2 linked regions of the Arabidopsis thaliana genome follow. The protein of the gene in region 1 purifies or fractionates together with the protein of each later gene. This does not show direct contact. Each region holds a gene or a part of one and is shown on either strand. Other genes may lie near its edges. The genes, in order: NOL and CAB2.

Region 1 (5,164 bases):
GCACTCGTTCGTGCCTTTGAAGGGTGGAAAGATGCTGAAAGAGAAGGATCGGCTTATGAGTTTTGTTGGAGGAATTTCCTGTCAGCTCAGACGCTTCAGGCGATACATTCTCTGAGGAAGCAGTTCAACTATATTTTGAAAGAAGCTGGCTTAGTTCATGATGATTTAGCTCTCAACAACAAGCTAAGTCACAACCAGTCTCTGGTTCGTGCTGTCATTTGCTCTGGCCTATTCCCTGGAATAGCATCTGTTGTGGTAAGTCTAAGACCCATGTCTCTGGCTAAGTCTCCTTTCTCGTGTCAGAGATTTCGGTGAAATAACCTTGTTGTCCTTTTTCTTTGCACAGCACAGAGAGACTTCCATGTCATTCAAGACAATGGATGATGGCCAAGTATCACTATACGCGGTGAGCCTCTTCATTCGTATTTCCCAACATCATTACTTGAGTCTCTCGATATGGCCATCTTTTTTATTTAAATGGTTTTTACGGTTTCTATGTTTCAGAATTCTGTTAATTCGCGGTTCCCAACAATTCCATACCCTTGGCTAGTCTTTGGAGAGAAAGTAAAGGTCAATGCGGTACTCATACGGGACTCCACTGGTGTCCCTGATTCCAGTTTGATCCTTTTTGGTGGTTCATTGAGCACGGGAGTACAGGTGATTTCTCTCATTTTCCTCTTTTTAACCCTTACACTAGTCAGATTATGGAATACTCCGGAATCGAATGGATTGAATGTTGTGTTGTTTCCAGGTGGGACATCTAAAAATGCTTGACGGGTACATTGATTTCTTCATGGATCCAAATTTGGCTGAGTCCTATGTAAAGCTGAAGGAAGAACTCGATAAGCTTCTTCAAAAAAAGGCGAGTTTTTTTCAATTTTAAAAGGAAAAAGTGTTCGTAGTGCAGCACTTTAACACCTTTAGTATCTTTACGATTTGCAGCTTGAAGATCCAAGCATGGACATCCACAAAGAAGGCAAGTACCTCATGCTTGCAGTTCAAGAACTTGTGGCTGGAGACCAATGCGAAGGCAGATTTGTCTTTGGCCGTGACACAAAGAGGCCAAGCCAACCGCAAATAGGAGAGAACAAACACTCCAAAGACGGGACAAACCCGAAGAGTCTCCTTCAGACACTTTTGATGAGAGCTGGACACTCACCTCCAAAGTACAAGACAAAACATCTCAAGACAAACGAATTCAGAGCACTTGTGGAGTTTAAAGGAATGCAGTTCGTTGGGAAGCCTCAGAGGAATAAAACGCTCGCTGAGAAAGATGCTGCTGTTGAGGCCTTAGCTTGGTTGACTCATACCTCTGATAATAGTACTGGCCAACACAATGAGGATGCAGATTCTCCACCTGATGTTACTGATAACATGCTTAAACTCCTTGGAGGACGGCGCAGGCGATCCAAGGGCAAGTAATTGAATCTCTGTAGGTTTTTTCGCAGACAGATTTGGTTTGTGTAACTGTGCTTTGGACGATCTCAAATACCAACCAAAGCAGATAGAGAAATTATACTTCAGTAGTCACTATGTAACTATAGTGTCGTTTTTGGGGCAGAACAATAGTGTAGGGTTATAAACATAAAATCTAGAAACTTTAGGGGCTATGATGTATTTTGAACAATAATTGGGGTTATTATCATCTTATATGCCGCCACGTGGCATTTAACTCTCTCTGAGCTTGCTCGCTTACGCAACTCTCTCTCTCTCTCTCTTTGAGCTTCTGTAATGGCTACTTGGAGTGGTTTCAACGTCTCTTCTTCTCCGTTGCTTAGGCTTCGGTCTTCCTCCGTCTCAAATGTCACTAAGCTTCCGTTTCTCTCTCCTATTTGCCGGCGTCGGTTACTGGCAGAACGCTTTGGTCTCGCAACTGTCGTTGTTACGCGCCAAAACCTCACGGTTACTCCGTCGTCTGCGGCGGTGGAAGCTCGTATCTCAGGGAAAAGAGAACCTATGACGCCTCCGTATAACATATTGATCACTGGCTCAACCAAAGGTTTCATTCACTCTGTCTTTGTCAATTGACTCGAGTTTTTAATCTTCAGAAGGGAAAAAACATATTTTTTTATCTCATTGTGTCTCTAAAGAGTGGTTTTTGATTTATTGATTGTTCAGGTATAGGATATGCATTAGCTAGAGAGTTTCTGAAAGCAGGCGACAATGTTGTGATTTGCTCTAGATCAGGTTAGAACCTGTCCCCATTGTTGTCTTGAACTCCTTTTCTAGAGTTTGTGTGTCTGTAAGGAAACATGCAAGCAAGTAATAGAACCAATCTTCAGTAGAATTTTGCTGTTATGGCTGTTCCTGTCTTGCAGCTGAACGAGTTGAGACTGCTGTTCAGAGTCTTAAGGAAGAATTTGGGGAGCATGTGTGGGTACCGCCTTCTTTTACTGTTCTTTTCCATTCGTGTGGTCTTCCAAGGTTTTTGCTTTATGTGCATTGATATCATGAAACCATTTTCTCTTAGTAGGGAACTAAGTGTGATGTTACGGAAGGGAAGGATGTGAGGGAACTTGTAGCTTATAGTCAGAAGAATCTTAAATACATTGACATTTGGGTACACTCTCAAAACTATGAAGAACGTTCATTTGTTGGTGACATCTGTGTTAATGTTGTTCAGAGTATTTTACTATGTTTTCTTTTCAATTTTGTAACCATAGAAATAGTCTTATAATACCATCTTGAGATGATACAGATAAATAATGCGGGATCTAATGCATATAGCTTTAAACCTTTGGCAGAGGCCTCAGATGAGGATCTTATGTAAGTCTTGTGTTAAGCTTGATCCTTCTCTTCGTTAGTTTCTATGTGATTGGTTTCAGTCATTTACTTTTTGAAATCTTTATGCAGTGAAGTTGTGAAAACCAACACTCTAGGTCTCATGTTATGTTGCCGAGAGGTAGTCAAAGATGTTATAAGGAGATGAATTCAGCGTGTCTTTTGTTATTATCAGTTGGATTTACTGACATGTGTTCATGATTATTAGGCAATGAATATGATGTTGACCCAATCTCGAGGTGGTCATATCTTCAATATTGATGGAGCTGGTTCAGATGGGAGACCAACACCCAGGTTTGCTAGATTCATTAAAGTTTCTTGGGAACATGCTTTAGTAAATCTCCTTTAGGCTCTCTTCTCTGTACTGTCTAATAGCATTTTTTTGATTAACGTTTGACAGATTTGCTGCATATGGTGCAACTAAACGGAGTGTCGTTCACCTGACAAAGTCATTACAGGTAATGCCAGAGTTATATCTGTTGAACTCTTCTTCGTTTTCCCTTCTCCTTATATGACTTCTCTAGTAATTCCTGTCTTTCATAGGCAGAGTTGCAGATGCAAGATGTCAAAAATGTCGTGGTGCATAATCTATCGGTATGAATACAATATATTGCTTCATTTCATTTTTGGTTGTTTTTAGTGTCTTCCTAAATACACTGATACAGACATGCGCATAGAGATGAATAGAATGGATGGATTATAGTTATTTGAACAATTTGAATGAATTCAGGATCTAAACATGATCATAATTCTAATGTGTTTTCTCTGGATTATTGTTGCAGCCTGGAATGGTCACAACTGATCTGCTCATGTCCGGAGCAACTACAAAACAAGTTCGATGACTTAACACTGAGGAAATATTTAGATTCCATTTCAAGAGATTCTCTCTAATACGTTCTCTATTGCAGGCCAAGTTCTTCATTAATGTTTTGGCAGAGCCAGCCGAAGTGGTAAGAACCCATTAACTCTTAATTCTTTTTAGCACAACAATTTGACACGATCTCTAATCTCTAGCCCCATGATTCATGATCACACATTCGTTTGCAGGTGGCTGAGTACCTTGTCCCAAACATAAGGGCAATACCGGCTAGCGGATCTATGAAGCCGACTTACATCCGTTTCCTAACTGGAATCAAAGCCTACACCAAAATATTCTCAGTTAAGACGATTAATAGCTCTGCGTAGAAGTAAATCAAAGCATGTAAACTATTTCTGCAAATTACTTAACCAATTTGTTTTTTTCTTTGTCAAATTTTGGGAATTTGTTTCAGAGAGTTGCGTTGGGAGCAAGGAAGAACAGGTATGTTACTGAAGAGTAGGTGTCAAACTAAGTATTAGAATTGTATTGCTTTCTCAGTTTGTTCAATGGTAAATAAAAACCTCTACATTTTGTTCATGACAACTCCAAAACATGCAATCTATTGTACAATTTGGATTTAAGCTCATTTGCAAAAATGTGAGATTTCTCAGTTAATGATTGAAGTGATGATTTAAAAGTCAGTTTTTTTTTTCCAACCATAATAATTTATAGGCACTATTTTGAGAATCAGACCAGATTTGTCGAGACTGGGATCCAAATGCCTGTGGTCTAGTTTACAATTTAACAAGCAGCAAAAATGTCATTCCAAACCAATCAAACCGGGTAAAACCGAAGAACCGCCTCAACCGGACTTGATATCAAAGCGATTAAAATCAAATTACGGTTCAATTTAGTAAAATCGACTAAACCGGTTAGTTCGCAACTTTCTCTTTGCTTCTTCGTCTCTCTCTCTCTGTCGTGTTTGAGAAGACGAAAAGAGTCGGAGAGAAAGATCGGACGATGAGTGCCGAAGATTTCCAGAAGAAGGTTTCCCTCAGAGATTCCCTCTCCGGCGATATTGAGAACGAATGCGGCGGTTCCGGTGTCGGGTCTACTAGTTCGACGGTGGGCTCCGGCGTCGCCTCTCAAACCCTGGTCCTGCTTCGGAGTCTGTTGGAGATTCAGCAGCGCCGAGCTCAGGCTTACGCCAATCTCAAAAGGTTCGATTGATTCATTGGAAATCTCTCAAAGAGTTAGTTTATTTGTTGCGGTTTTGTTAAGTTCCAATTGATCCATTGCCTGAGAGTTAGACTTTGTTGGTGAATGTTGAAATTGAGGCAAATAGTGTGAAGGATAGAGAGGGAGATGTTTTTTATATTCGTAGATTTCCATGTTTTTGTTACTGAGATCTTCCTCTATTAATCTGAGCTGACTATGTTTTCGAATTCAATTATCAGTGGATTCTCAGAGTATGTGGAGTCTGGTGCTGAAGCACTTTATCAGAAGCTGTGCAGCGAGATTACAACGGAGTTCAGTGAATGTTCGAAACAAGTATGGATCTTATCTGAGAGTATTTGATTACAC
Region 2 (3,974 bases), on another chromosome or scaffold:
GTTGCTATTGGCTAGTCATAGATTTTTTTTGGGGTTTAGATTGTTTGTTTGCTTACGTGGTTAATGGCTCGCACTTCGCAGATTCGCAATTGATATGTGTTTTAGATATCTAGGTGCGTTTCATGGATTGGCGAAACACCCACTCATGACGTGACACGTATACGAATAGATCTCTCTATCCTTATGAAATCCTGAGAGCATCAATGTAAACCAAAACAAAAAAAATTTGGATAATTGCCTTGTATAATACATTTTATTAAACCTTTTGTATATATGCTTCTTTTTTTTTTCTTCTTCTGATAATAATAATAACTCTTGGCTAGAGATAAAACATAAGAACAAAGTAGATAAAACTATAAAATTTATGTATGGAAATAAGATTATCTAAAACTACGGAATTGAATCAAACTTTACCACAGAAACATAAGAAATTATTACCATCTTAATTAGCACCTGTATTGACCATAATATTTTATTAGAAGAAGAAGAAAACATTGGAATCCACCAGATCAAGGTGATGGTCAGGGTCATAAGACAGCTCCATAATCACGAGTCATGGTCATAGACTCATAGCCACAAGTCTGCTTCTCCCTTACCAATACCAACGGCTTCAACAACGGCCACAACTAATAAGCCAATTCCAACGGCCACCATATAACTGAACCGGATATTCACCAAACCCATTTCAACCGGAAATTGATCCACAAGTAATTAAAAATGTTCTGACCAAATGTGGAATAGGTGGGAAAATGTTGAAGTAAAGGCCAATTCTATAATGTGAGAGGAAAACTCTTTTTTGAGCTTCAGGAATATTTTCTTAGACCTGACCTTGAATCTATATTTTGTAGTTCTTCAATGATTTGATTTCTCTATTCATTTCCTTATAAATTAAATTACTTGTGAAATGAATTTCTGTTTAGAAAAACCTTGAACTTCCTAGTTGACCAAAGGATTAGAAAATCTTTCTAAGTGGAGTGTCTCCTAATAATGGATCAAAAGTGTTTGGAGCAAAAAAGAACGCATAGTGTATTAGTGTTAACAGCTTTTATAGTTCAAAGTTTAGAATGTGCTCTAAAGCATATGTGTGAGCCTGTGAGGTCTAGTGATTGTAAAAAAGAAAAATTGTGCTTCGTGGAAAGTGATGCAATAAACAACACTTCTAGGGCTGAGTAAAACCAACTAGACATGTAATGATAGCTTAAACCGTTTTCTATAGGAGTGTGATTGAGGAGTAATTTGTTGATGAATTCGGAAAAAGCGAATAAATAAGTTTGTTCAAAAGGTTGTTGAAGTTTACAATAAAGATAACTTGAATCATGATAAGAAAAAAAGTAGCTATATGTTCTCTAAAGTCTAAACCCATGATGATGAACATGCCATATGAATTAATATAGTTCTTTCATGTTCTTAGAAATGGTCGATAAGTTAAAACAGTGTTTCATTAATCGTTGTGTTTCTTCGATAAAGAGTAAAACGTCAAAGTTTTAAGGTGATATCACATAATTCATGAGATTATTTTGGTTATTGGATAAAGTGACGATGAAATCGATTCATAATTGAAATTAAACTGGTAGTGATGATGAACTAATTACCATTGAAAATATTGATATTTATGTGTGGGTAAATGCTTTTTATAATGTTACTTTATATTAATGTTTCGATCATCAGAATCTATATTTTCAAAATGTTATACTTTAAGTTTTAGTTATTGGGTTGTAGCAAAAATCATTCTTGTCACGAGGGTGTAAGTAAGTGTAACCGTTGAAGTATTCAGTGGCTCATAACTTGTGGTCACAAAACGCTTGGCTGCAATGAAAAAATCAAAACAAATGCTGGTGGACTAGAGATTGCCACGTAAGACTACTAAACGATAAAACAAAAATCTTAAAATCCAATGAATGAACAGATAAAGATTACTTCAGATATAACAAACGTTACAATATCCCTATATAATCCAACACTATCGAACCAGTTTTAATCACTCTCACTCACAAGTTAGTCATAAAAAAAAAAAAAACACAAAAAAGTTTCAATGGCCGCCTCAACAATGGCTCTCTCCTCCCCTGCTTTCGCCGGAAAGGCTGTGAACCTTTCCCCTGCGGCATCAGAAGTCCTTGGAAGCGGCCGTGTGACAATGAGGAAGACTGTTGCCAAGCCAAAGGGTCCATCAGGCAGCCCATGGTACGGATCCGACCGAGTCAAGTACTTGGGTCCATTCTCTGGCGAGTCACCCAGCTACCTTACCGGAGAGTTCCCTGGAGACTACGGATGGGACACAGCTGGTCTATCCGCTGACCCCGAGACATTCGCAAGGAACCGTGAGCTAGAAGTTATCCACAGCAGGTGGGCCATGCTCGGAGCCCTAGGCTGCGTCTTCCCTGAGCTTTTGGCCAGGAACGGAGTCAAGTTTGGAGAGGCAGTTTGGTTCAAGGCTGGTTCACAGATCTTCAGCGATGGAGGGCTCGATTACTTGGGAAACCCTAGCTTGGTTCACGCTCAGAGCATTTTGGCCATTTGGGCCACACAAGTTATTTTGATGGGAGCCGTTGAAGGTTACAGAGTCGCAGGAAATGGGCCATTGGGAGAGGCCGAGGACTTGCTTTACCCCGGTGGCAGTTTCGACCCATTGGGTTTGGCTACCGACCCAGAGGCCTTCGCTGAGTTGAAGGTAAAGGAGCTCAAGAACGGAAGATTGGCTATGTTCTCTATGTTTGGATTCTTCGTTCAAGCCATCGTCACTGGTAAGGGACCGATAGAGAACCTTGCTGACCATTTGGCCGATCCAGTCAACAACAACGCTTGGGCCTTTGCCACCAACTTTGTTCCCGGAAAGTGAGCCAAGTTCTATCTGTTTGTAATTTACTTTTCTTTCAATCTTTTGAATTCGAGTGAGAGACAGGAGGAGAAAGAGTAGGTTTGTGTTTGTGGTGGATGGTAGAGACTTTCAGATGTAAATTTGCAAAGACTTTGTATGATTTGTCATTAATCAAATAACTCATTGTTCTCTAAATATGTTTCGTAGAACTATAATTGAATTGGATTTTCAGTTCTTGGGTTCACTCCGTTGTAGAGGCTATTTCTACAATCGAGCAACGTGATTGAACATATTAAGGCAATGGGTACAAAGATTATGTTCTTTTCAAATCAAGAGAAAATGTGATTCTCGGATGTTAGCTTGAACAACACGAAAGAGTCTTTTATATAAGTTTTTTATATTCCCTTGATTTAACTTGTATATCGTCTCTTCACAAAATATGATCGCATTGAAGAAGAAATTGCAATCGTTTTTTTTCTTCTGATTGAGAGAATTAGAGAATAGATAATGAAGTAGTTTCTTCCGTGTTTGGTTGATTCTGAAGCTCGTAACATTGGCTCATACGATATCTGGATAACAATATATCACATTGCTCTGATACCATATTAAAATCACATCCACGCATTGAATGGACTGATCATATATCTTACATATTAGTTAAAATCCATTGTCGTGCGAGAGATTGCCTTCCGTGACATCCTCTGTGGACCAGGTTCGCTTGTCACACTAGCTATAATTGGTGAACACATGATAACATATATGTTTGGAGCATAGAAGAGCTAGCGCCTGTGTCATTGGTGTGTGGTATCGAAAGAACAAGAGAATAGAACAGGAGAACATGAATATAGCTAGGTTTATTCATTTTCACCCCAAAGCTTAGAAATTGCGTTCCAAAGAGTGGGTGAATTCATGTGTGAGGGCAATTAGTGATTGTAAAAATAAAATTGTGTTTTGTAAAAAACTTTTACTGTCGAAATTATTTAGGGTGATGAAAAAATCAGTAAACTACGAATGATAGCTTAAAGAGTTTCTATCAAAGTGATTGAGGAATAGTTTGTTGCAAATTAAACCTCTAACAAAATGTTTTCTGTTGTGGTTTTTCATCTCTACAAATTTTGAATTTTATGATGAATTAGAAAGATAGAATGAGTTACTTTAG

The links.
Region 2: the proteins of NOL (region 1) and CAB2 purify together in Arabidopsis thaliana (affinity purification with western blotting, with the first as the bait; one study listed by BioGRID). This does not show direct contact.

What each region holds. Positions count from the first base shown.
Region 1 is NC_003076.8:1,433,095-1,438,258, forward strand, and holds NOL (NYC1-like protein), read left to right. Parts: upstream 1-1,679; 5' UTR 1,680-1,731; coding exon 1,732-1,999; intron 2,000-2,118; coding exon 2,119-2,187; intron 2,188-2,318; coding exon 2,319-2,377; intron 2,378-2,473; coding exon 2,474-2,560; intron 2,561-2,698; coding exon 2,699-2,766; intron 2,767-2,853; coding exon 2,854-2,902; intron 2,903-2,989; coding exon 2,990-3,075; intron 3,076-3,181; coding exon 3,182-3,239; intron 3,240-3,324; coding exon 3,325-3,375; intron 3,376-3,563; coding exon 3,564-3,614; intron 3,615-3,689; coding exon 3,690-3,731; intron 3,732-3,828; coding exon 3,829-3,939; intron 3,940-4,052; coding exon 4,053-4,100; 3' UTR 4,101-4,401; downstream 4,402-5,164. Other genes in the region: ABO6 (DEA(D/H)-box RNA helicase family protein), read left to right, coding at 1-255, 347-406, 505-657, 752-862, 943-1,422; AT5G04910 (DNA repair REX1-B protein), read left to right, coding at 4,601-4,800, 5,038-5,131. UniProt on the Arabidopsis thaliana protein: Required for chlorophyll b degradation. Chlorophyll b, chlorophyllide b, pheophorbide b and pheophytin b can be used as substrates. Belongs to the chlorophyll catabolic enzymes (CCEs).
Region 2 is NC_003070.9:10,473,951-10,477,924, reverse strand, and holds CAB2 (chlorophyll A/B-binding protein 2), read left to right. Parts: upstream 1-1,955; 5' UTR 1,956-2,032; coding exon 2,033-2,836; 3' UTR 2,837-3,269; downstream 3,270-3,974.